Linked DNA regions of Drosophila melanogaster. The protein of the gene in region 3 purifies or fractionates together with the protein of the main gene of each other region. This does not show direct contact. Each region holds a gene or a part of one and is shown on either strand. Other genes may lie near its edges.

Region 1 (7,490 bases), about 10 Mb from region 3:
CTGTCAATCAGGGAATGCTAAATAAATGGAAACACAACTAAACTTGAATAAACTTCTATTCGCAAACTTTAGTCTAGCACCCTCGAATCCAAGAAAAGCATGAGAAAAACTTCATACTGAAGTTGAGCCAACTGCCAGGCCATGACAGACAGATCCTGGCCATATCCTTGCCCAGCCAAACTGCCCCGCTCCCCCCCCCCCCCCAAAAAAGGATGCCATCAGAATGGACGCTAATTAGCGTGCAAAGTTAAATAAAAATCAGCGAAAATTCTGCTTTCAATGCAGCATGGCATATGGTAAGATAATTAATTAATACTCACTCGCCTGATTGGTGAAAAACGATAGTCGGGGCCGAGGCAATTAGCCAAGTTCTGGGCCCAGGCCAAAGGCAAACAATGATGAACCCTTGCCGCTGCTGTCTCATTTCCTTCGCTGTTGGCCTCTCTGTCTCTGTCTCCCGTTCTCGCCCTTTCTCTTTCTCTCGCTCGCTTGTCAAAGTGGTTGTGGGTGGTGGCATCATATTTTTATTCACTTCACTGAAGAAAAGTGCATTGTGCAAAAGTGAAAATATAAACATATACACTCTTTTGAAATCAAACTATTTTTTAGATAATGAACTTATTATATCAGGTACTTCAATACTATTTCAGTAATCTAATTTGCTTAAACTTTCAACGTTATAGAGATAGATTAATTCTCGGAACCCAAGGCTCGGAATTTTCCAGCAGTGCTGTTTTCCGCTTTATATGTGAAACGTTTTTACATTTGGTTTTTTATTGCTCTGCTGCCTTTTGCCTTTGCACTGTGCTCCCCCGTTTTTGTAGTCATGTTGTTGTTTTTCCGCTGGCTTGCTACTGAGCTTGTTTCTTGGAAAATAATGACTGCACATTAAGTGTCTGCACACACACACATGCTGGGAGGACAAGGCAAGTAAAATGTCAACAAATGACAACAGAAATATGATGCAAATGGCTCATGTAAGTGGTTCTTGCCGCCAACATTTATAAAACAGGACAACTTACAATGCAACAACAGCAAAGCGGCTAGAAGCGAAAGGAAGCGGCTAGGAGAAAGTGGGAGTTCGTTGAGTGAAGGGGCGTGGCGGCGTCTGTCCGCTGTAAACATTCTCCATTCTACTTGGCAATTTTTCATTTCCCATTTCACTTCGCTATTCAAGTATAATTCGCAGTGCTTAGAAGGGCAAGAGGCGGCGTTTGTTTAATGCTGAAATTAGCTTTTATTCGAGCATCGCGCATACGCCGCGTTGGCCGGAGTCGTTGCCATTGAAATGTTTCAAGAATACCCTCGACTGCAATTAAAAGCGCATTTAATAGAAATTGTTTAAGTGCAATCGCATGCCAAGGGTATCCCAAGAGAAAATAAGTATAGAAAAGTGGATGGGGATTTTGACAGGTGCAATTATTATCTTACCCATAGAGTCTCAAAACTGTTTCATTTTACACAATATACTCTATAGAAAACTATAAAATATATAATCAATTTAAAGGATATATAAGTGCGATATGAATGATATGAACTACTCACATATTTTCTTAGCATTTTATAGGACGTGGAATACATTATATATGCGTACCATTTCTGGAATCTGGGGCTAAATTGGTATCACTTCAATTAAGACCCAGAGCATATGGGGAATGCTATTGCTTTCTCGGACTATGTGGCTAATCAGCGTTATGTGCGTTAAGTCAACAGCCGCATCAACATTATCATCATTATTTGTACAAAATGAAACTGGCCAAAGCCGTAGCCAAATCGAAAGCCAAAGCCAAAGCCGCACACTCACACAATTTGGCAATTTGTGGCGAACAGCGGTCAACAAAAAGCAGTTCGGGCCAAGAACCATCCAGGATGGCAGGCCAGGACCACACTGACATTCGGTCAGTCTGTCAGTCAGTCAGGCAGGCAGCCAGTTGGTTGAATTTGGATGGTGCTCGTTTTGGTGATGGTTCCGTTCCTGGCCACTCGACTACATTGATATTCCACGCTCGATGCGCGCCGCTGTTGCCATTGGTCATTGAGGCTCACTCATCCTTCGTCTCCACTCCTGGCCACTAACGATAGATGTCCTTAAGCCAGCACACACTCGCACATATTGCTATAAAAAAATATTTATCTATATGGCGATATACGGCCGGACTGCACGGCCATGGCTATGGCTATGGCTATCCGGCGATCCGGGTATCTGGGCAACTTTGTCCAAAAAATGTTGCCGGGGCCGAGCTGCGATGCTTTGTTAACTTTTTCAGTTTAATGAAATCAATTCACAAGTCACGTTGTTGCTGGACAATAAATACATCAGAGTCCATTTAATAAAATCATGATGTGCACTTTGGGATGATACCAGCTCGCCGCACATATATCAACTTTGGGTGGCCATATCGTATCGATTCGTATTCGTATTCGTGTATTGCAAATAACTTTCGGCTCTCATTGGAATGCCGCATATGACATCCCCTGTCCCCCGCAGTTCCTGTTCCTCAATTGCTCGATAAGTGCGCGGCAGTGCTAAAACTTAAATCAAAATCCACATTGAGCCACTGCAGCGTTAGCCTCCGACTCCCCGGCAATTTGTTGCGGATTCTGGCTTGGTTTTCGGTGGTTCATTATATTGATCTGTGACTTGGCTGTTTGCTTTACGTCTTTCGCACAATCATTTTTATTTGAGTGCCCCGAGAACGGCGAACAGAGTTTTTGGTGATTGGGTGGTTGGGGGGCATGGAACTGTTTTATGAGTGCATCGTTCTGGGAAAGGTACTTAATATTGGATATGAGAAACTGCCAGCCATTTTCACTTGCATAATTAATAGTAAATTGGGATTAATATTTCGGAAATTCATTAGCTTGGCAAATTCAAAACATTCTCATTATAAAAATAACGAAATTAAGGCGCTAAAATAGTATGGAACAACTATAAGATGATTCTCACGTTTTTTTGTGGTATGTAATTATAATGCATTAACTTTTCGCACTAAAAGTGCATATGCGAATCTTGATTGCCTTTATATTACTATCTATACGGTTATCAAAAACCAGCTTTTGTTCTGTTACCACTATTTTTTACTGTTTTTATACCTAATCTGCTTCTGCGCACTTCAACAGAAACAGCTGTTAATTTCAAAAGTCTGCTCCCACTATTATCCTCAGACGATGAAGGACCTTTCCCTCGCCCAGATAACTGTTCTACGCTCAGCTGATTCCGAGATTCTCTTCACAGACATAATTCTCTTAACCATGACCATAGGTAACTCAGAAAGGCTTGCACCGAACACGGCGAATTCCAGGGACATTCTCTCTTAGCCGATTCAAAATCACGGCCCAGTGTTATACAATCCGTCCGGAAACGAGAGTCGGAGACCACGAATGCCCACGAATGGAGGCGAGGACGTCGTTCGGGTGACGAAATATGCCGACTCCGATTTCTGGGTGCGTGTACACAGCCTCCGTGCATATCTGATGGCCAGCGAGCAAATCAGTCAGATGCGTGGCGAACGTTGAATTTAACGGTCGGTTTGGCAGTGAAAGTGGAAAGTGGAAGCCATCGCCGTGCTCCACGAGCCTGGCCAGCGAATTGTTTGGTGCGGAAAATAAAAACAAAAATCATAAAAAATAAGAAAAAAATACAAAAACACCCAAGGAAATATGAGAGTGAATGTTAGCCCCATAGAGGAAATACATTAAAGTGCAAAGCTCGCTGATATAATCAAGTTCAAACAATTCGAAGGAAAAGTGCTTAGGTTGAAAAGTGTTCAAACATTGCGTCAGTTAAACTCGAAAAATAAAATCAAGTGATACCACCACGCTTGGAGTTGGAGTCTGCGAATTTGCTGGTAAATTATTCAAGCAAGTTTAATTTTTCGGGGGCATAGGAGTCTTAGATCCTGTGCCGTCATAAAGTTATACAAATTATTGCCATCCTGACTGCCATTTGGTTGGCTTTAAACTTTCGGTTCACGCAGCGTTCGCATTAAATTTCTTATTTTGTTGTTTTTCTGCCTTTTATTTCTTTTCCGCTATTCGCGTGGCACATGCGGCGTATACGCAATGTATCTCCTTCTATTTTATTTGTGTGTATGCGTGAGCTTGTGTATTTGTGTGTGTGTGTATGTGTATAACCTACATTTTTGTGGTCCTCGTTGTTTTTCCACTGACAGACTGACAGTCAGACAATACCAAAAACAGGATCTTGAGTTGGGACCCCGTAACCGTGACTTGCCAGCTGAAAGTTAATTTTATGGATTTACGGCTTTTGTTTGCTCCTTCTAAATACTGACTGATCCACAAGTTGGCGATGCTCTATATCTATATATTAATTTTTTGTAATATGACCGAATAGTTTGTCCGAAAACTTCGTCTCCGTTTGGCGCAGTCCAGCGTTTGTCTTCATCAACTTGGGCTAACTTCTACCAAGTGATTGTTGATTTTGTTTGATTTGCTGTTTTTGTTTTGGTTGTAGCTGTTGGCTTTATTTGATTTTAGTACTTTGGCAGAGTCAACATTCGTTAGCAAAAATTTCGCTCACGTTCCATTCGAGCGAGCTCTCGATTTCATGAGTTTTGGATGCTGCTGGTCCGTGTTTGCTTCTCTGTTCCGCCGCTTAGCCATCACTTCTCTATATCGGAGTACATATATATTCCTATTCCTATTTCAATTTCTGTTCTTTTTTTTTTTGTCTCCAAGTGTCTCTGGATGTTTTTCCCCCTAGTTTGTTTTTTGTTTCTACCGTCACATGCACTGTGCACAGTCAGTGCGAAGTAGACAAATAAATACGAGTACATATAAATCGGGCGCATATATGCGCATTGGTCCGATGTACTTGCTGTGGCGAGTGGAGCTTAGCAGGGCTGTCCTTAAGATTATTTATGCGGTGATTAGCCGCTCTGAATTATTGCTGAAATTATCAAGTGTGCTATAAAATTTCACTGCCATTTATTTGCGCAACTTTTGGCGGGGCTCACGTACTACCAACCAAACGCCCGCCCGATCCCATCCCATTCGATCCGATCCGCCCCATCTCCGTTCACCATTTGCTCCACTTCAGTACGCTTCAAGCGGCGTCGTCTCATGTGTATCGTTGGCTCGTATTCTGCATCGGTTTGGGTTTGGGCTTGGGTTGGATTCCTGGTTCAGATTCGGGTGCTCGGGTGCGTGCGAGGGAGTGTAACAAATTGCCAGAGTTTGATTTTTAAGTGTGAAATATCGCACAACGAAATTGGATTAATTACACTGGGGCCGGTTAGATTGCGTTCGCTTTTAAAGCCAAAACCGTTGGCAAAAAATCATTTCAGATACAAAAATGGAACGCAAGGAAAAGGATTTTAAATGGAATAATCAGAAACTCCCCACCATGAATAAAAAATAGATATATTAATCCTATATACTGATGCAACACTGTGTGCTATAATTAAGTTTAATCAAGTTTAAAGAAACAAGCACTTTTAATTAAAACATCTAGAAAGGTGTTTGCAGAAGTACAACTTATTTATGAGTGGGCTCCAGAACTAATCGTTCATCTCTTGTTCAACATCCAGCTGTGGGCCACTGCTGATTATTCACTTATCTATATTGTTTATGAAGATACCATTTCCCCTGGCGCTGGAGATGAGGGTCCAAAAACTAAACATAAACGGCTTGTAGAGCCAAATAAGGATTATCCTGCCGGGCCGAGGGAAATGAGATTTTACAGGAGCCGCTGGCCCCGCCCACTTTCAACAGCGCCCACTTAGCTGGCAACTAATTGCCTAAGCCCCAACCTGAATCCAAATGAGATGATAAAGCTGGATCTGCGGCCAGTCCGAAGTCTGAGCTCTACTGAGATTAATTACATTTAAATAAACAGGAATGGCTGCAAACATGGCCAAGACCGCAACAGTTACATGAACAATTCAACCGAACAGACAACAATAGACAGTCGACAACTCACTCAACTCCACTCGTCCGGATTCAATTGAATCACTTCCATTGGGCTACTTTAAGCTGATTACATGCAGAGTTTGGCTTGAGATATACATTTTACATAGACTAAATCATTAGCTTTTGTTTTTGCAAAACCAGCAAATTTCACCTACCAGGAAAACGTTGTACATTTGATAAGGGTATCGATGGTGAGAAAATCTACAGTGCTGTTTGAAATATTAGTGGTAAAAGAATTAGTAGCAAAGGATTAGAAGTTAAGGGAAAAAGAATCCTTATCTCAATCTGAATTAAAATTTGGCAGTATTTCCAAGTTTGATTAAGCAAAAATAAAAAGATTCGTGCCTATTATAGCTCTTGACCAACTATAACTCGGGTTTTGGACGCAGCTGTACATGTTATATTTTTGGGTGAATGAAAGTCAAAGCCGAGTTTAATGCCGGACTTAGTGATAGCAATAGCCCTTTGCATATGGCAAATGCCCAATGATTTATGACTGGAACGGGTCGACGCAGTCAGCAGACTTTGTCCCGCTCACAATTGGTGGGGAAAAGCGTGAAAAACTGTCGGCCACATGGAAAATCTCGGTGTGAGTGGGGTAATGTGGGCAGAGCGGCAGAGTAAATTCAATTTTACGTTTCACAACTCAGCATGATTTCTATCAAGCCGGGGGAATCCCCTTTTCCACATTGTGTACCGCAAACTGATTGCTTTCGGTGGTCCCTCGACTGTCGGTGTGTATGTGTGTGTGTGTGTATGTGTGCCTGCGTTTGGGCGACTCTATGTTTGTGTGTGTGTGTAGCCCCAAAAGCGGGCTACATAAAAAAATCACTAAAAACTTGTAAAAGCATCAAAGCGCACTTTCTGAGCTCTCTGCTCGAAAAAGTTGCGCTTGTTCGGCCCATTGTTGTTGTATCCTTAGTGTTTCCTTTACTGCTTATGTTGTTGTTGTTGTTGCTGCTGTCGGCGGAAAGTTGAAAACTTTTCAAGTGAGTTTTGAGGGCGGTTTTTGGGGCTAGCTATTGGCAAAATTGCTTTCTGATAGCTTGGCTGGTGTATTTATGCAGTTTTAATGAGAGCTCCTTGCGAAGAGGTTGTTGTTAATACAGGAAATTAATAAGTTAAGTAGCCATTAGGTGGCTGAGTGCAAAGTTCGATGGCTAAGAGCTGAGATTATGAGCGCTGTGAAGTGCTCGTGAAAAATTATTCATATTCTTATCAACCATTAATACATACTTACCAATTGTTATTTTCGGATTACCTTTCATAAATAAAAACCAACTTGTTTAAATTTCACAATGAATGCGTTTTAGATATTCATGTTGCAAACAAATTTGTACATTTGAATCCTTAGGCATATCCCATTTCAATCCGAATTATTACCTTATTTTCCCAGTGAAGTCTGATATGAAACACGAGTCTGTCCTTTCCCAGAATATTGTTGGTGGGTTTATTTTATTTTTGCGACTGCTGCTTAAGCCGCGTTTTATTTTCACTTGAGGCAAGTGTAGTCATCTGTGAAAATATTGGCAAAACTCAAACAGCGCCAGCATTTGACA
Region 2 (7,878 bases), about 10 Mb from region 3:
CGATGGACAAAGCCGGCATGATATAATTATGTGTTGAATTATGAATTGAAATGCTGAAAAGTTTTTATAGTTTTTATGCGTTATGAAAACTTGCCATTCAACTAACATTTTTGGCCAACATTTATTGCTAATTCCAGCAGTGAGCACTGTGTCTGAATACTTTTAGAGGATTTTAATGGACTCAAACTCGTCATTACAAATTATATTTGCGGAGCGAGCAGAGAACGTTCATAACAATGTTTTTCTCGATAATGTGGATTAGGGAAATGCTTGAATTGTGATTAGTTATGATTCATATTTTCGGAAGATAATTCAATCACAAGTGGTAATGTTTTTGTTTTCGAACTGAGTGTAGAGAATATTAAATAATTTTATGAATAATTTTGACCAAAATCTGATTCCTCAGCGCGGATATACTTCATTTACTTCCTGTTCGTCCCGTTTTATAAATGTATTTCTGCATTCGAGTAAGGCCTTGTGCCATCAGTTACGAGTTCGTATCTTCTTTAACTATACATGCATATGTGGGACTTTTATCTTCGACTTTTGAGCTTGGTATTTGCATGCGGCCAATAAACATAAAAATGAATGTCAGCCATGTGGGCGACCATTGTTGTTTGGGCCTGTAGGAGATGCCACTTCGATTGCCTCATGTCATATCAATTCAATTATATTTTATATCACACAGTTGGCGCACAAAGCCGGAGAAAAGGCTCCATGCTGCTACCATTATTGCTGACAATATACTTGTAGTATTATAGTTTATGCTTCTCTTTTTGTGGTTTATTATTCTGTTCACACATGTGTGTAGTTTAATTTAATGAAAGCACCTTGAGAGGCTTCAATCGATAATGGCTCTAACCGATCGGAATTATTCGCTTTGTTTCGAGCTCAAGGCGTTGATTACCTCGGCTGTTTTGTGTAAAATTGATTTTGTGGCTAATTGCCCGGCACACACAAGTTGCCTCCTTTTGGACTAATCCCTTATTTTATCCCCAAACATCAGACACACACGTCCAGGTAAACAAAGACAGCCATTCCGCAGGTGAGGTGCGTGTTTGGGTTCTGATAACAAATTGCAGCGAATAGCGTTGGGAATTCGGTCCGATGAAAGTGCGGTGATGAGCCAGAAATAAACCACCGCACGAACCTTTTGTAATTAAATGTTGAAAGCAATTTCACGCCCAAAACCGATTCACGCAAGCAAAAGGGTGTGAGCCATGTCCCTGCTTCCCCCCATGCCCCACCGTGTGCATCCCCTTTAATGTTTTGCGGTGCTTAAATAAATTTCCACAAAATGTGCGTAATTAATGCGGAAATCTCGGCAGGGATTCTGTAAATCACTAGCTATCAATTTGTCTGCCCTGCAATCGGCCTAAGTGAAAATATCACTGCGTTTTAGATACAGTTAACATGTCTAAAATAGGTGCATAATGTTCAATTGCAATTAAGTCGCTCTTAAAGCGGAAATTAGTTTATATTTTAATGAAAAGTGAACCATATTCTATCTTGAAATGTATTGGGACTGTACTAATTTTCGGCAAGTGTTCGTTTCGTCGATTGTTTGCAATTGCGGTCACCACCATGTTGCACGCACAATCTGACGCCTTTCGGTTTTCTTATCGACTGGCAGTGTCCATTGATTGCAGTTCATTAAGCACGCGCAGGCTCACGCATTTTCCATTTCCCTTCATTTTCCACCAACCCCGTTGGGTCACCTTGCTCAACACCCAGCACCCACTCCATTGCGTCGACACCTGATGACTTGGCTCATTAGCTGGGCATCCCGTTCGCACCTTCAGGCACTTGACCATGGCCAGTTGCGTCCTGGATGTTGGACGCTGGAGTCCTCGCCCCTGAGCTGTGCATATATTTTCATAATATCCCCATCTCACCTTCCATTCACCAGCCACTCCTTAAAGCCTGATTCCGCATCTTGGGGCCATTATTGTTGATTGCTTATTCATGCATTCAGTCATTTATTCATATGCCTGAATCTTGGGCGTTGAGAACTTTGCTTGTTTGCCTTGTTATCAAAATTAAACTTTCCACTTTCGGTTCTAAGGACTCGTCCTTCCTCGCTGATATTCCAATCATGGCCACCGAAACTAGCCGAAATTAATTGCGCTGCTCGGGCTGAGTGCTGTTTATATTTTAAATTAATTATAAATATTTATTTATCCTGATTAGTTAAGTGGGCGGTCGGACTGCCTGCTCGTCGGGGGGGCTTAACCAAATTGATTTCGGTTTATTTTAGCATTGGCCAGCGCTTTTGCGGGGCCATCGATTACAAAGCGTTGGCTTTAAAGCCATCCGACCAACCAATCAGCCAGCGGCAATGGAAACTCAATTGCAAGCTGTCCATTACTCTTGGTCCACACTGAGCGGGAAATGCGGTTTAAGAGGAAAATTCTAGATCTAGATTAAATCGAAGCCAAGTTTTGATAACGAACATCGGGTTTCTGGCTCACGGAAAATGTAGTTTATGTCTAATCACTTAAGATGCGCTTTTTCTATGGCTAATATATGTAATATCTATTAGATTAATTAGATAAAAGCAGTGCATTGCTGAATATTAAATATCTTAGGTTCTTAAGCAGTGTCCCCCCTTTTCGCTCAATGTACTCGCATCAGACTCCGCTGCCTTGCTAACCGGATCCATTTTTCCCATCCTGCTGTCTTGCTTCTCTTTGTGGTTTTCTATAATTGATGGCAGCATCAATTCCAAACGAAATAATCAAGCCATACAGGAGGACCACGGAGGATGGGCAAGAGGGCTGGCCACGAAAAAAAGCAGAGCCACAAGTGCAGACGGTACAGTGCAGCACATTCGTGTATGGCCGGCTCACGTAGCCCGATTTGCCATGTTCCTTCGCTGCATACTTTCGTGGGCCAAAGTTAATTTCAGGTTTAAGTGGCAGCAACTGCAGCTGCTGCAGTCGAATTATTGAAGCCAAGCAAAAAGCGAATGGAACGTATGGGACGTAGGGGGAGGGGCAAAAACGTTTAAATGAAAAACACGAGTCAATTTATATTGCGCTGACGTACCGCCCGACATTTTCCAACACCCCCTCACCCAAACTCGACTGCCATTTAATCTTCTTCCATTTCTTGGCGCTATTTTCAAATGTTTTTCTTTGCTGTTTAGCCATTTTTTGCTGCTGTAGCAGTTGGAGCGAAAAAAGAACCCAAAAGCAAGCTTTGTGTGTTGGTTTCCTTTTTTCCGACTGCCCATGTGTGTTTGTCTCTGCTGTTTTTCCTCTCCCTTCTACTTTTTTTTTCCTTTTATTTTTTTTTTGGTAAAGCTGTACAGAAATCTGCACAAAAATGCACGGAAATTCATCTTGATTTGTGTTGAGCGTTTTTATTTATTTTTTTCCGACTCCCCCCGTGTATATCTTTTTCAAGGGCTAAAACTGCAGCACTTTTTTTTATTCAGCACATCTCTATATCACTTTGGTTTGGCGGTTTGTCTTCTCCACTTTATCCCCAGCGTTTTTTGTGCGAGTTTTGCCCTGGGGGCGTGGCGCACTAAATCAGAGACATTTAAGCGCGTTTTGTTAAAAGTCACTTACTGCACTCGACCATGGCTCATTTGCCGCCTTCCACCACCTACCTACATACATATGTACTTACCACAGAAAAGGCACAGTAGCAGTAGCCACTGGATCACGTTGCTGCCGTAGTTGCAACTATAGTTGCTGCTGTTGCTGCGGGTGATTTTTGTGCGACAGCAACACCTACGCACTGCCGTTGTCGCAATCTCTGCTGATGGCAACATGTGACTGTGCATTTCCGCGTTTTCCAGCTTGCAGCTACAGTTGCAAGTTGCTGCTGGTTGTGCTGCCACTGCTGCTGCTGCTGCTCTGAGTGATGTGCTAAAAGTTGATAGTGTCTGCCACATTGTCAACGCGCTTGGACACTAATTAAGTGCGAAACGAATGTCTGCTTGTCTCGGCAAATCCTTGCTAAATTATGCTAATTTATATTATTCCCAGAGACAGACCGCTTGTGTCCGTGGTTCGTTGGTAATTTATACGAATATATTTTTCAAATATTTCTCAGAGTTGGCACACACTTTATTACGTATTTCGATTAGTTGTTTGTGAATTTTCATTTATATTTTGCACGTCAAACTCAAACTTTATGCCCGCCACTATTTCGATCTCTTTCCTCGCGAGATATTCTGTCTCTTTCATCGCCGCGATGCGAACGCGTCACGCAATCGTCAGAATTGCGACTGAATGCTCGAATGTTGCTGCTGTCCGTTGGTGTTGCTGCCGTCAGTTGATGTTGATGTTGCTTTCGCCGCCGCTGCTGTCGCTCGGCAACATGTTGCCTGGAAAACGTCGATGGCTGTTGTCTTGCAGTTGTTCTTCCGCGAAAATGTTTGTCTTTTGACGTTTATGGGGGATTTTAGTGCGCCTCCTAATTACTTCATATGCTGCTCCAAAACTACGAACTGCAATGTCTGGAAGAAGACGGAGGAAAATGCCTCAATTAGTTGTTGACACAGGCAGAAATATTAATTTTATTGCTGTCTCGTAAAGTGCACAAAGTTACAAATAAAAATTCCAGCGATCGTCACGTGCCGCGACCCTTTTCCGGATTGATTTATGCGTTCAGGGACCCGAGATAGCAAAGTATCGCGACCCCACCCTGCCCAATGACCTTTCCCCAATCGGCGGGGGACTAATTAGCAGGCCGTCCACTCGAAGGCATCCAATTTGGATTTGGTTATTTCGCCGGCCGCCAGCAATCGGGTTTTGCATTATTTACGACTTTCCCCAATGCTCAATTATGCGCTTCAATGCAGGAAGCCGCACATTTGCCACCAGTCCTTCAAACTACGAGCATGCCCCTCACCATCCAAAAAAAAAAAGAGTTCTTCTCTGCTCCGCTTCCTGTTTTGGCATTGTTCACCAATTGTTTCAAAAACAAAGAAGGGCATTTTGTCCAAGGCGCACGTAGAGAAAAGGGCCACTACCTAAATTTCCTATTACTTTCTATAGTGTTTTATTAATCGCTTTTCGATGTAAACTAAAGTTAACTGATGACTATTATTAATGTAAACTCCAATAACATAATTTTATAAGTAACATGTTGATGTGTTTTCAATTAACAGAGCTATATTTGCAATGATAACATAACATTCTAGGAAGAAGAAAATGTATAACCTCTGCAACTATTATTTACCCTGTTACCGTTTGCTTCTACTAACATGCTTTTCTCTCAGTGTATGCAAAGTTTGGCTAATTGCTGGGGCAGCATCAGCATTGTTCCATGCATTTCCAGCTGACGGAAAATCGTGCGCTGAAACCAAAAATCACTTCCGCTTGGTCATTGATTGGTGGGTGGGGCAGGGGTAGCAGTGGGTTAAGCCCAGCGGTGGGTTAAGGGGGATATAGGCCTGCACTTCACACATCATTTCCTCTGCTCAACATTTATTATGCCATTTGTGTGAGACCGAATTGTCACAATTAGTCGAGAGGCGGGTGCGAAAGGGATGGATGTTGCGGCTCTATATATAGACCGTTTCCCCCCTGTTTTTTCCACGGCACTTTCCTCCACTTTTCCCACTCGTACTCATACCGAAGTGCCCTCCGATTCATTTATAATATTTTGTCATTGTCTGGCCGGCGTTGCTGCATTTTATTAATTTGTTTGTCATATTTTCACGTTTGTTTATTGATTAAAATGTGTGCACAGGCGTCTGACATTTTCTGGTTGAGCGATGGGTTGAAAGGGGAAGGGAATGGAATGAGATGATTTTGAGTCTGCTGCCAGCCGTTGTTGTTGTATCTGCGGTTCTTTCTGGCTGCTGTAAACATGTGTTGCCGGCAACATTATCACTGCTGTTGCATTGTTATTTTTATTCCCTGTCTGTTTCCACCAACTTCCCCTTCCCCCATCGCTACTCTTCCCTGTAGCGAGAAAGCCCCTGTCTGGTATTTTAAATAAAACATCATTTTTTGTAATTGTTGGCTCGGCGTGAAACATTCTATTGCCCCATCGCTTTCCCTCCCAGTTCTTTTGTTTACCTAGGCTACAGTTGCAAACATTTTCCTTTTCCCCACTTTTCCCCAGCTCATCCCCGTTTGTTTGTACAAATTATTATGAATGATAATTTTGTCTGTCGCATTTTTCATGCATTTTCCCCTCTCTGACGCTTTTATGGCCAACATTGTTGTTTTTATGCCTGTGGCTTTGTTTTATGAATTTTATAATTAATTGTGTTTGACATATTTTATATGCTTGTGCTGCTTTCGACTTTTTTGTGCCTAAATGATTTTACAATTTGATTGATTTTGCCTAATATTTTGGCATTTATCTTTACTGCGAAACACTATGGACAGGAAGGTGATTTTACAATTTATTTATAACATGCCATTAAAAGGTTAAAAGCCGAAAAACGCAATTGTGGTCTGCGTTCATAGCTTTTGCAACTAATGTTCTGTCACCGTCAGTGTATTTATTATAAATATTTTAAATCGAACTTGGTTCTCAAACTCTTTTATAATTAGTAATAACTTACATATATGAAAAACTACAAAAGAACTGTGAACCTAGGCAAAAAACTAATACCAAATGCAATTACGTTGCATTTATAATTTTGGATATTTTGAAAAATTAGCGCTGTTGGCGCATTCCAACGCTTAATTTATAAAATATGTGACAATCAACAATAAGTGTATGCCAATTGTATCCGGCCTACAAAAATAAGGTTGAAATGAAACCAAAAACAAGCGGCTTTGCCTTCCTCCATCTGAATTCCCTGTTTCCCTTGTCACTGTATTTAATTCTATTCATTTTAATTAGCTCTGATACACTTATTGAGTTTAACCTCTGCAGCCCAAACTAAAACAGTCAATGTCGTCAGGACGAGAAACATTTGTATTGTAATTGTCGTTTGGGACGAGTGAATTGCCACATATGTAACTGTGGCTGTAAGCCACTGTCGCTTGTCGCTGGCATATTTTGGCCAAAAAGACAAATGACAAAAGACAATTAGCTAACTGAAGGCAGGAAGCCTCTTAGACATTTGCCTGTGCGAGTTGGTTTTAATTAAAAGCAGATTAGCATTGCGCGTGCAGCGAATTAGCGTGGGAAAAGCCAGGCAGCCAGCCAGTCCAGCCCACCATCACCCACTTTTCACGAAAATTATTGTTCCCCATTTTTTGGAAAAGCGTGGCATGGCACTGAATGGCCTGGGCACTCAAACCCATCCGCTTGTTACCCCATTTCAGGCATCTCGAGCGCATTTGTCTGGAGACATTGACAATGACAGCGGCTCAAGAGTTGGCTGTACAGTACACCCCCCCTGCAAAACACACATCCGCGTGTCTGTGTCTGTGCGAGGTTACTGTCTCAGACAATTGCCGGAATAAAGCCAACGCCATTTGGAGTGCTGGCTCCTGGGCTCGTGGCTTCTGGTTCCCTTACATTTTCATTCCTGCCAGCGCGGCTCTCGTTACTTTTAATTCCAGTACTTGAATGGAACATTTTTATGCACGCTTCTCGCATGCAACACAACTCGAAAATGGGGCTGGGAAAGAAGGGGGTACACTGAAAAAAGTGGATTTTAAATGCGGTTTTGTCAGGATACAGGATGTGTATCTGGATAAATTGAATTTGATTAGGTGTAAGGGTTGCTAAATCTATTAATTTAAGATCAATAATGTGTTTAAGCACAACAATGGATAACTAATATAATATAATTAACTACAATGAAAATAATCCCTATTGAGAGGTAATGAGATTTAGTTCCATTTGTCTCAGTCTTTGTATATGATGATGGGTTGTGGCTAGTTTTAAGCCTCTCATCTTATCTTCGATATGCATTTACTATAAATAATTAAAAGCGTGAGCCACACATGA
Region 3 (7,498 bases):
TGCCCCAGGGCCAAAACGGCAGGCACTTTTAATGAGTGCCTCGAACAGATTCAACCCATGGAGGCCATGGAAATGGCAGTGGGGAAGGGAAAAGGCACGTGACATGACAGTGGGAGATTTTCTTTATTTCCAGCTTCAAGCTACGAGCCTGCTGGTGATGATTTTTCGGCTTGTGAGACATGGGAAGTTGTTGAAATCTTGTGATGCATTAAAATTTGCAAGTTTTGACTTTGTTTGTGTGTGTGGGAGAGTCCTGTGTCTGAGTGCGTGTGAGTGACAGTTGTGTGTCAGTGGCACGCTTTTCCAGCTTTCGGGACACATACACATACACACACACACAGTGGCATTTTATGCAAATGTCGCTTTTCTGCGTAGCTGCCTCGCTTTTTAATGAGCACACACACAACCCGACAAAAGGATGGCACACAACCGCATTAGTTGATTGTGTGTGTGTCTTATCCTCTTTCTCTCCTTTTGAGTGCGCGTGTGTGTGTGTGCCGAGTCCTGCGACTGTGAAGCAATTAAAATGAAATAAGCTAGGTTTTTTCACTCGGCAAACAAATTTCCACTGCAAGACAAATGCACAAATGTCATAGCCACACCGAAAAGAAATATCTGAAATGATGATTAATTTACAGCAAATTTAATTTGGGGAAAGTTTTGGAAAGCTTCTAATTGAAAAATATAAATAATATGTGTCATTTTCTAAATGGAATTAAAATTTTTGGGGTGAAAACGTATTGCATTTCAGTTACATGTATATTTTGTATGAAAATTGAAACTAAAAGTGAGTTAGTGGAGCATTTGGGGTGCGAGCACGTGCCAATTAGCCATCGTGACCCAATGAAACTTCCTTTATGGGGTTCCTTCGGTTAAAAGCCAGCCCATTAGTCACTCAATCAGCTGGCATCAAGTATTGCTTTAAAAGCATTTGCAATGCTCCCATGCCACTTGCCTGCATTGCATTTGTTATGCCCTTGTTATCCTTGATCCTATTTGCGCTTTTCTTTTCTTTTCTTTTCCTATGCCATTTTCTTTCTATTTTCTAACATTTCTGCTTCTGCAGTGGCCATACAATACGAGTGCGTCATGTGCATAGGTGTGAAGGTTGCCGCGGGCGAGCAGCTGAAGCTGCAACATCAACGTTGCTGCATAAAAGGCTAATGCCCCGGGAAAAGTGGAGGCCGAGCTGCCATCGAAGTGCCCTGGGTGGCTTGGTGGCTTAGAGGTGCAACAGCTTGGCAGGTGCAACTGCATTACCATGCGACAATCTGTTCCCATTTCCCAACAGTGGCGAATATTTTTATGGCCAGCCGGAAGCTGAGTTCACTGAGTTCACAAGTTTTGGAAAAAAGTTGTATTTAAAATAAGCTAGTTGAATTTATTTTATTATAGTTTTCAGTTTCATTTATAATTAAAAAAGAAAGCAAGAACATAACAAGAGAAAGGATGTATATTAATTGAATTTGAAATTTAACTTCTAAAAATATGAACCAATTATATTCAATAAACTTTTCTTCTTTATGTGGCAATTTGAAAACATATTCGTGTTTCCTTAGCAAATGTTGCTTTCATCATTGTCCCTCAACACTTAACGAACGCAACAATGCTGCGAGAGAGCGGAATAATGGAATTGTTCTGAAACATTCCTATGTGTTGTAGCAACATGTTGCATGTGCCTAAGGGCAATTGAGTTAAAAGGGGAAATAAGTTCATTTTACCATGGAAAGCTGTAATTGTTCTTATTTTCAATCAACGTATTATTAACCCTAAGTAAATATATTGATTTGCTTATTTGCATACCAGAGTACTTAAGAATTTATTTATTTAATTTATTATTTATATTAATTCATTTAATCGATTTTACAACTCCTAGAATTGAAACAGGATGCCATGCATGCATACATTTCTTAAGCGTCTAAAGCGTGTCACACGCCCAATTAAAATTAACCAATAATGGCTAAGTGCATCATTACCCACAGCTTACGACAGATCAAAGCCCGAACAAAATTGAGCAATTCAAGCAGCAAAACCACCGGGCGATAGTAAATGCTCAAAGGCCATTGATAATCCTTCGCCAGGACGACAACAAAAGCTTGTTCATGCCCCTAACCGGGGGATAACTCAATTATGTGGTAAGTTATGGACACGATTCGAACGACGGCGGAGTGGAGGGTGGCCAGAGTTGACCTAGGCTGACCCCCAAGGAGGGATAAAGCCTTTTGGGCACTTTGCTGTCAAATTAGTGCCTAGTTCGGTCCGCATAATTGGCCCAGCCGAAAGTTTTTACACGCAGCCATAAAAGATTTATGGAAATTATGCATGTGTTTTTTGTTTATCCTGTCTGGGCAAAGAGGGGGGGGGACTTATGAGCGGTGCCAATAAATCACATGGCGAGTGGCCCATTAATTGGCTGCAAGCGCGCCCGAGAGCCAAAACAACACTCGACCAGTTGCCAAAGGTCACGTCCTGGCCGCATGTTGCACGAGGACTCGCACGAGCAACATGCGGCACGAGAGAGCGCGGCAGGACTCGTGATCCGAAGCTCGTCGCCGTCCGAAGTGAAAAATCGTGAATGATATGCGGCATGTGTTGCTACCCCGTAGCAGCAGCAGCGAGCAGCAACGAGCGGCAGCAACAACATGCAGCAGCAGCAGCAGCAGCAGCCGAGCAGCGGCAGCTGCGAATGTTGTTTAGTTCTTATCCGTGGCTCACAGCGTTTGGTTCGTCGTGCGGGTGCTGCTCTATATATCGATAGCGTGTTTGGCTACATATATCTGTGCCATTGCTGGCGCTTGCCACTATTGCCACCACTACTCAGCAGGGATTGCGATTCTCTAGACAGTGTGTTTTGAATTCTTTTGGCCCTGGCCAACTTGCAATTTATGTGGCTAATTAGAGGAATAGGAGGCGGCGGCGGACCATTTGTGCGTGACTCTCGAGCGCCGTAAGTGCTGCGCATCGTTTACGTTTCGTGTGCCGCGCCCCTACCGCCCACCAGAAACAACAACGACAACAACGAAAAAAAAAGAAGAAACGAATTAACACAACGTGCCGGAAAAATAATAATACACTCAAGTTATCAAAACACTTGAAGAGAACTGGAAAAAGCGAAGTTCGAAATAACTGCAGTGCAAAAAAAAAAGCGAAAGGAAATCGAAATTTAGGGCAAAAGCGGATTACGAGCAGCAATAACAGCCGAAAGCGGAAAATGCGAATGAAAATGAAACTCCAAGTGCGGGCAAACAAACAGCAAGACTGAAAAGTGAGTTGCGGAAAATTCGTAAAAGTGCGTAGTAGAGCAGATAGAAGGACCCCCGAAGTAAATCATTAAATCATATGGAAATGTGAACGCGTCACTCTGCCTCATTAACGATTTCCCATTTTCGATTTTCCATTTCCCAATCAACCAACAATACCAATACCGCACTCCAGCTGCGTGCGGATCATCAATTAATTCCAGTCAGTTTTCGCACTTTAAGCGCCAAAAAAAGCAGCAATAAAAAGGAGTATTCCCACACAAAGAGAGCGCACAAATTAATGACACAATAACACACTGCGGTTTCATTTGTAGTGGTCAGTATATATATGAGTATATCAGTGTGTGTGTGTGTGAGAGTGGGCGCAACAGTTCGTCGGCCGTACAGCCTGCCCCCTTCGGTTTTGATTATGATTCCCATCTGATATGAAACGATCCAATCCGATCGGTCGCGTGGCATATAATTTATCACAATTGCCATCGTCTGGCGGGGCAAAGTGAAAGTGCATCGGAGCATCCGCAAGATACAAAGATAGTAGATACAAGATACAAATTGCTTATGCAGACATCTTTGCAAATACGGGTCAGTGCATTGGAACAATAGCTGCGAGCAGCAAAAGTTTTGCTCTCTATCTGTTGGCCAAGCAAAAACATAAATTAAACTTGCCAGTTGGAAGGCCTTGAAAGTTCCTCTGTCCTTTGGATTAGCTAGCCAGGGAAAGCCAAAGAGCAGCCGGGGGTAAGTTGGTCCTTCTGATTTGTAGCCATAAGTCCGTGCTCCGGAAGCTGCGCCTTCAATTCGCAATGCCATTCCATTGCATCCCATCCCATCCAGATCCCAGCCAGCTAGCCAGGATCCACAGACAGCCGGGGTTTGCTTATGGGACAGATTTGTTTGCCTTTCAAATTTTCATCTTTGAGTGGAATGCTGTTGTGATGGTCACTTGAGAGCTGAGATTTATGTCGTTGCTATAGGAAAGGAAAACAAATTAGGCCAAGAAAGTCATTAGTTTGGTAGAATTTTTCTTGCTGCTTGTGAATTATATTTTTAGACTATAACATATATTTAGCCAGTTCTTTATTATTACCCAATTAAATTTGGCTTGTTGAATTCACTTCGCTCTTTCCTGACAGTACCGAATCAGATTTCAACTACGGTTTCTTGATAAATCCATTACTAAAAACGTTAAATCTACTTCCTGCTCCCCACTCACTCCACTCGTCATTTTTTTAGCGGCATATTTTTTGCGAGCTGAGCAACCTTGGCAACAATCCAGTGAAATCCTTGCATGAATTTCGCTAAGCGCCTCTTGCCGCCTTGCATCCAACATGGGAGTTTTCCATGTGCGTGGCCCCATTCTTGGATTCCTGGCTACTGCCCCATATGGTGGCACACATAAAAAGCAAATCACAAAATCCACTGCGCAGCTCCGTTTCCAACCAGTGGCAAAATATAAGAGGGAATAATAAGCTCTCATATAAACGCTACAGCCGCAGGATATTTGCAAAGCCAACAGCCCTCCTACCAGGATCCCGATCCTGATCCTGAGCCAGTGTCGGCACGTATATACGCCATATGCCATATATGTATATGCTAGCCTGTCCAGAGAGTTCGGCTTCATTAAAGCAAATAGAAGCCCAGAGCATATACATATGTATGTACATATATGGTATAAAGCGAACTCAAAATCACCCACACAAAGTTGAAAATACGAACAAAGCGAAACAAAACCAAGCGAAGCGGAGCGTGGCAAAAATTGCGAACAGAAAGTTTTGGGGCAGCAGCATGAGAAGGAATTAAATTTAGGTAAATGCATTGAAGGAATTCAATTTTAAACAAAATGCTGCTAGCGTCACACAAGCGTCAGTTCCGCATGAAATGTGTACTATGTGCAAATATGTGAGCGGGAAAAGGGAAATGGTGGGAGTGGGAAAAGCGTTGGCATCGCTGCTGCAGAACGGCTGCCAAACAATAAAACTTTCAATACATATTTTATTTGACTTTATGCTGCAATTTTATGCATAATAAATCCTGCAGCCCGAACAATTGCTTCACACCTCGAGGGCTTCGTCAAAATGGATAAATATTATGGATAAATACAATCAGGATGGCAACCGAAAGTAGAAAACATTCAGCGAGCGACTTGTGCATAATGAAGAGACTCCTGCATGCAGGATAAGCGAATGGCAACGCTTTTGGCGATAACCATTTTGGAAATTCCATTTAGCCCGCAATAAAATAAATCCAGTTTGAGCCGAGTTCGCCAGCTGACACCGCTCGGGATCACGACGCATGGCGTTCGGGGCATTTGGGAAATAGATGAAAATGAATCCTGGCACATTTTCCAATTAACGAAATTTACAAAATGCCAACGCGCCTCGGCTAAGCCGTGCAATTAAAAAGCTGGAGCACGTAGAGTGCAACGTGGGCGGCTAAGCTGAGTGGGAAAATTGAGCGAGTGGTGGGTGGCTGGTTGTGCGAGTCGGTTTTCCAGGTGCAGCGGAAAATGTCGTCGCTCACCACCCGCCCCTCTCCCTTTCGCCAACCGCACGTAGTATGCAAATTATTGCAAATTATCGGCGTAAATTGCATTTGCCTTTAATGAGTAGAGAGTGTCTGGAGCTGCAGAGCTTCGCCTTCGCAGCTCCGACTTAGAGTTCAATTATGCTTCCGCATCTTGGTTTTCGCCACTGTTTGCATTTCATTTCACAGCGAATCGCCCCCACGTGCTGATTTATGTATTTTGCCCCGACTTTGCATATTTACATTGTATCTATTTCCACGAGCCGTATCTGCCGGATGATGGGTAGGCTTCGATTTTATTTGCGTGTTGTCACGTCGCAGCTTTCGAGCAATCGTCGCCCTTGCGGCCGGCGAATGTGGAAAATCCCCTCCACGGATATTTGTAATTCTAATGCCGCCAAAGTGCTCGTCGTGATTTGCATACGCATCGATATCAATGGTCCTGGGCTTTTCGTGGGCTCCAGCTCCAGACTTTCGTTGACCTTACACGTCTCAATTGCAGTTGGATCTGGCATTCCTTGACCCCGCTTCCAAAACTCAAGTGTCTGGATGGCGATGGACTTGTTCTAGGCTCGGGCACCTCTTATCCCATAATGCTAATTGCCTTTGCTCGGCTAATTGCCGGCAATTCTGGTCTGCTTTCGATCTCAATGCGCCGTTGTCCGCGGCTGTGCCATAATTTATCAATTTGCTCGGGCTGCCTTTGTAAACGAGACAAATGAGGCGAGCCGGGAAAAACGAGCTTATCTCATGTCAAACACACTTAAGCAGAGGAAAAGCCCTCCCCCCCCCCCCCGGTGGGAAAATCTCGTGTAGGTTGCTTGTAAATTTTTATTGGCCCTTAATGCAATAGAAACTATGGAGCCAACATGAACATTACCAATTGAATTGGAAATGGGCATTAACATGGCCATCCAGTTACATTGGCATCGACTTGGTATGGGCAAAACGAGTACACAGAGCAAAATTTACAAGTAACTTTGAACTTTGGAATATGATAATTCTTATAAATTATAAAATACGTTTTTAAAAAATTCGAATAATTTTTCATTTCAAGTTAAAAATAGTTTTACTTTTGAGAATCCTCTTGTATATAATTATAATAAAGTAATAACAATAAAAATCTGATAAAGATGCTCAAAAAATTTGCGTGTAAAGGAGTGCGAGCAAAAAGGACGATTCCACTGATGCGGATTGCTGTTGACCAAATGCGATTTTTGCATTAAACACGGCGAATTGCATTTACCTTGCTTTTTTATAAGAGATTCTCCCGTTGCGATATCTGCAACGAGCTTCGATTAATGTCTGAGTCGCTTAATTGGCTTTCTGTGTTGCGATTTCAACTGAATTGCTCCTGCTACTGCGGATGATGCTGCCGCTGCTGTTGCTGTTGTCGCGGCTCAAGGATGAAACAAAAAGCACACCGCTAGCATTTGCATTTAGATTGAAAACGCCCGGCGTTCGTGGGTTCGATTTGGGTTTGCTTTTTTCGAATGTCGCCCGATGCTTCGCTTTGACTGATGCAAGCTGAGGAAATCAAAATCTCGCTAGCCCGAAAACGAACAAACACACACACACACACACATACACACATGCAGGTAGACAATGGCAAAAAATGACAGGGGAGAGGAGGAAAATTTTGGGGAAAATGGAAATGGAATCGATGAATCGCTATTTGCCCCGGCACTCGCTCCCCAGCCGCCTCGAATCGCAGC

What was found.
Region 1: the proteins of side (region 3) and beat-IIa purify together in Drosophila melanogaster (affinity purification with western blotting; one large-scale study listed by BioGRID). This does not show direct contact.
Region 2: the proteins of side (region 3) and beat-IIb purify together in Drosophila melanogaster (affinity purification with western blotting; one large-scale study listed by BioGRID). This does not show direct contact.

What each region holds. Positions count from the first base shown.
Region 1 is NT_033777.3:17,362,124-17,369,613, reverse strand, and holds the start of beat-IIa (beaten path IIa), read left to right. Parts: upstream 1-3,494; 5' UTR 3,495-3,848; intron 3,849-7,490.
Region 2 is NT_033777.3:17,243,635-17,251,512, forward strand, and holds the start of beat-IIb (beaten path IIb), read right to left. Parts: upstream 4,244-7,878; 5' UTR 3,905-4,243; coding exon 3,637-3,904; intron 1-3,636.
Region 3 is NT_033777.3:27,432,690-27,440,187, reverse strand, and holds the start of side (sidestep), read left to right. Parts: upstream 1-2,705; 5' UTR 2,706-3,265; exon of another isoform or gene 3,266-3,998; intron 3,999-7,498. Other genes in the region: CG44290 (uncharacterized protein), read left to right, coding at 1,067-1,226.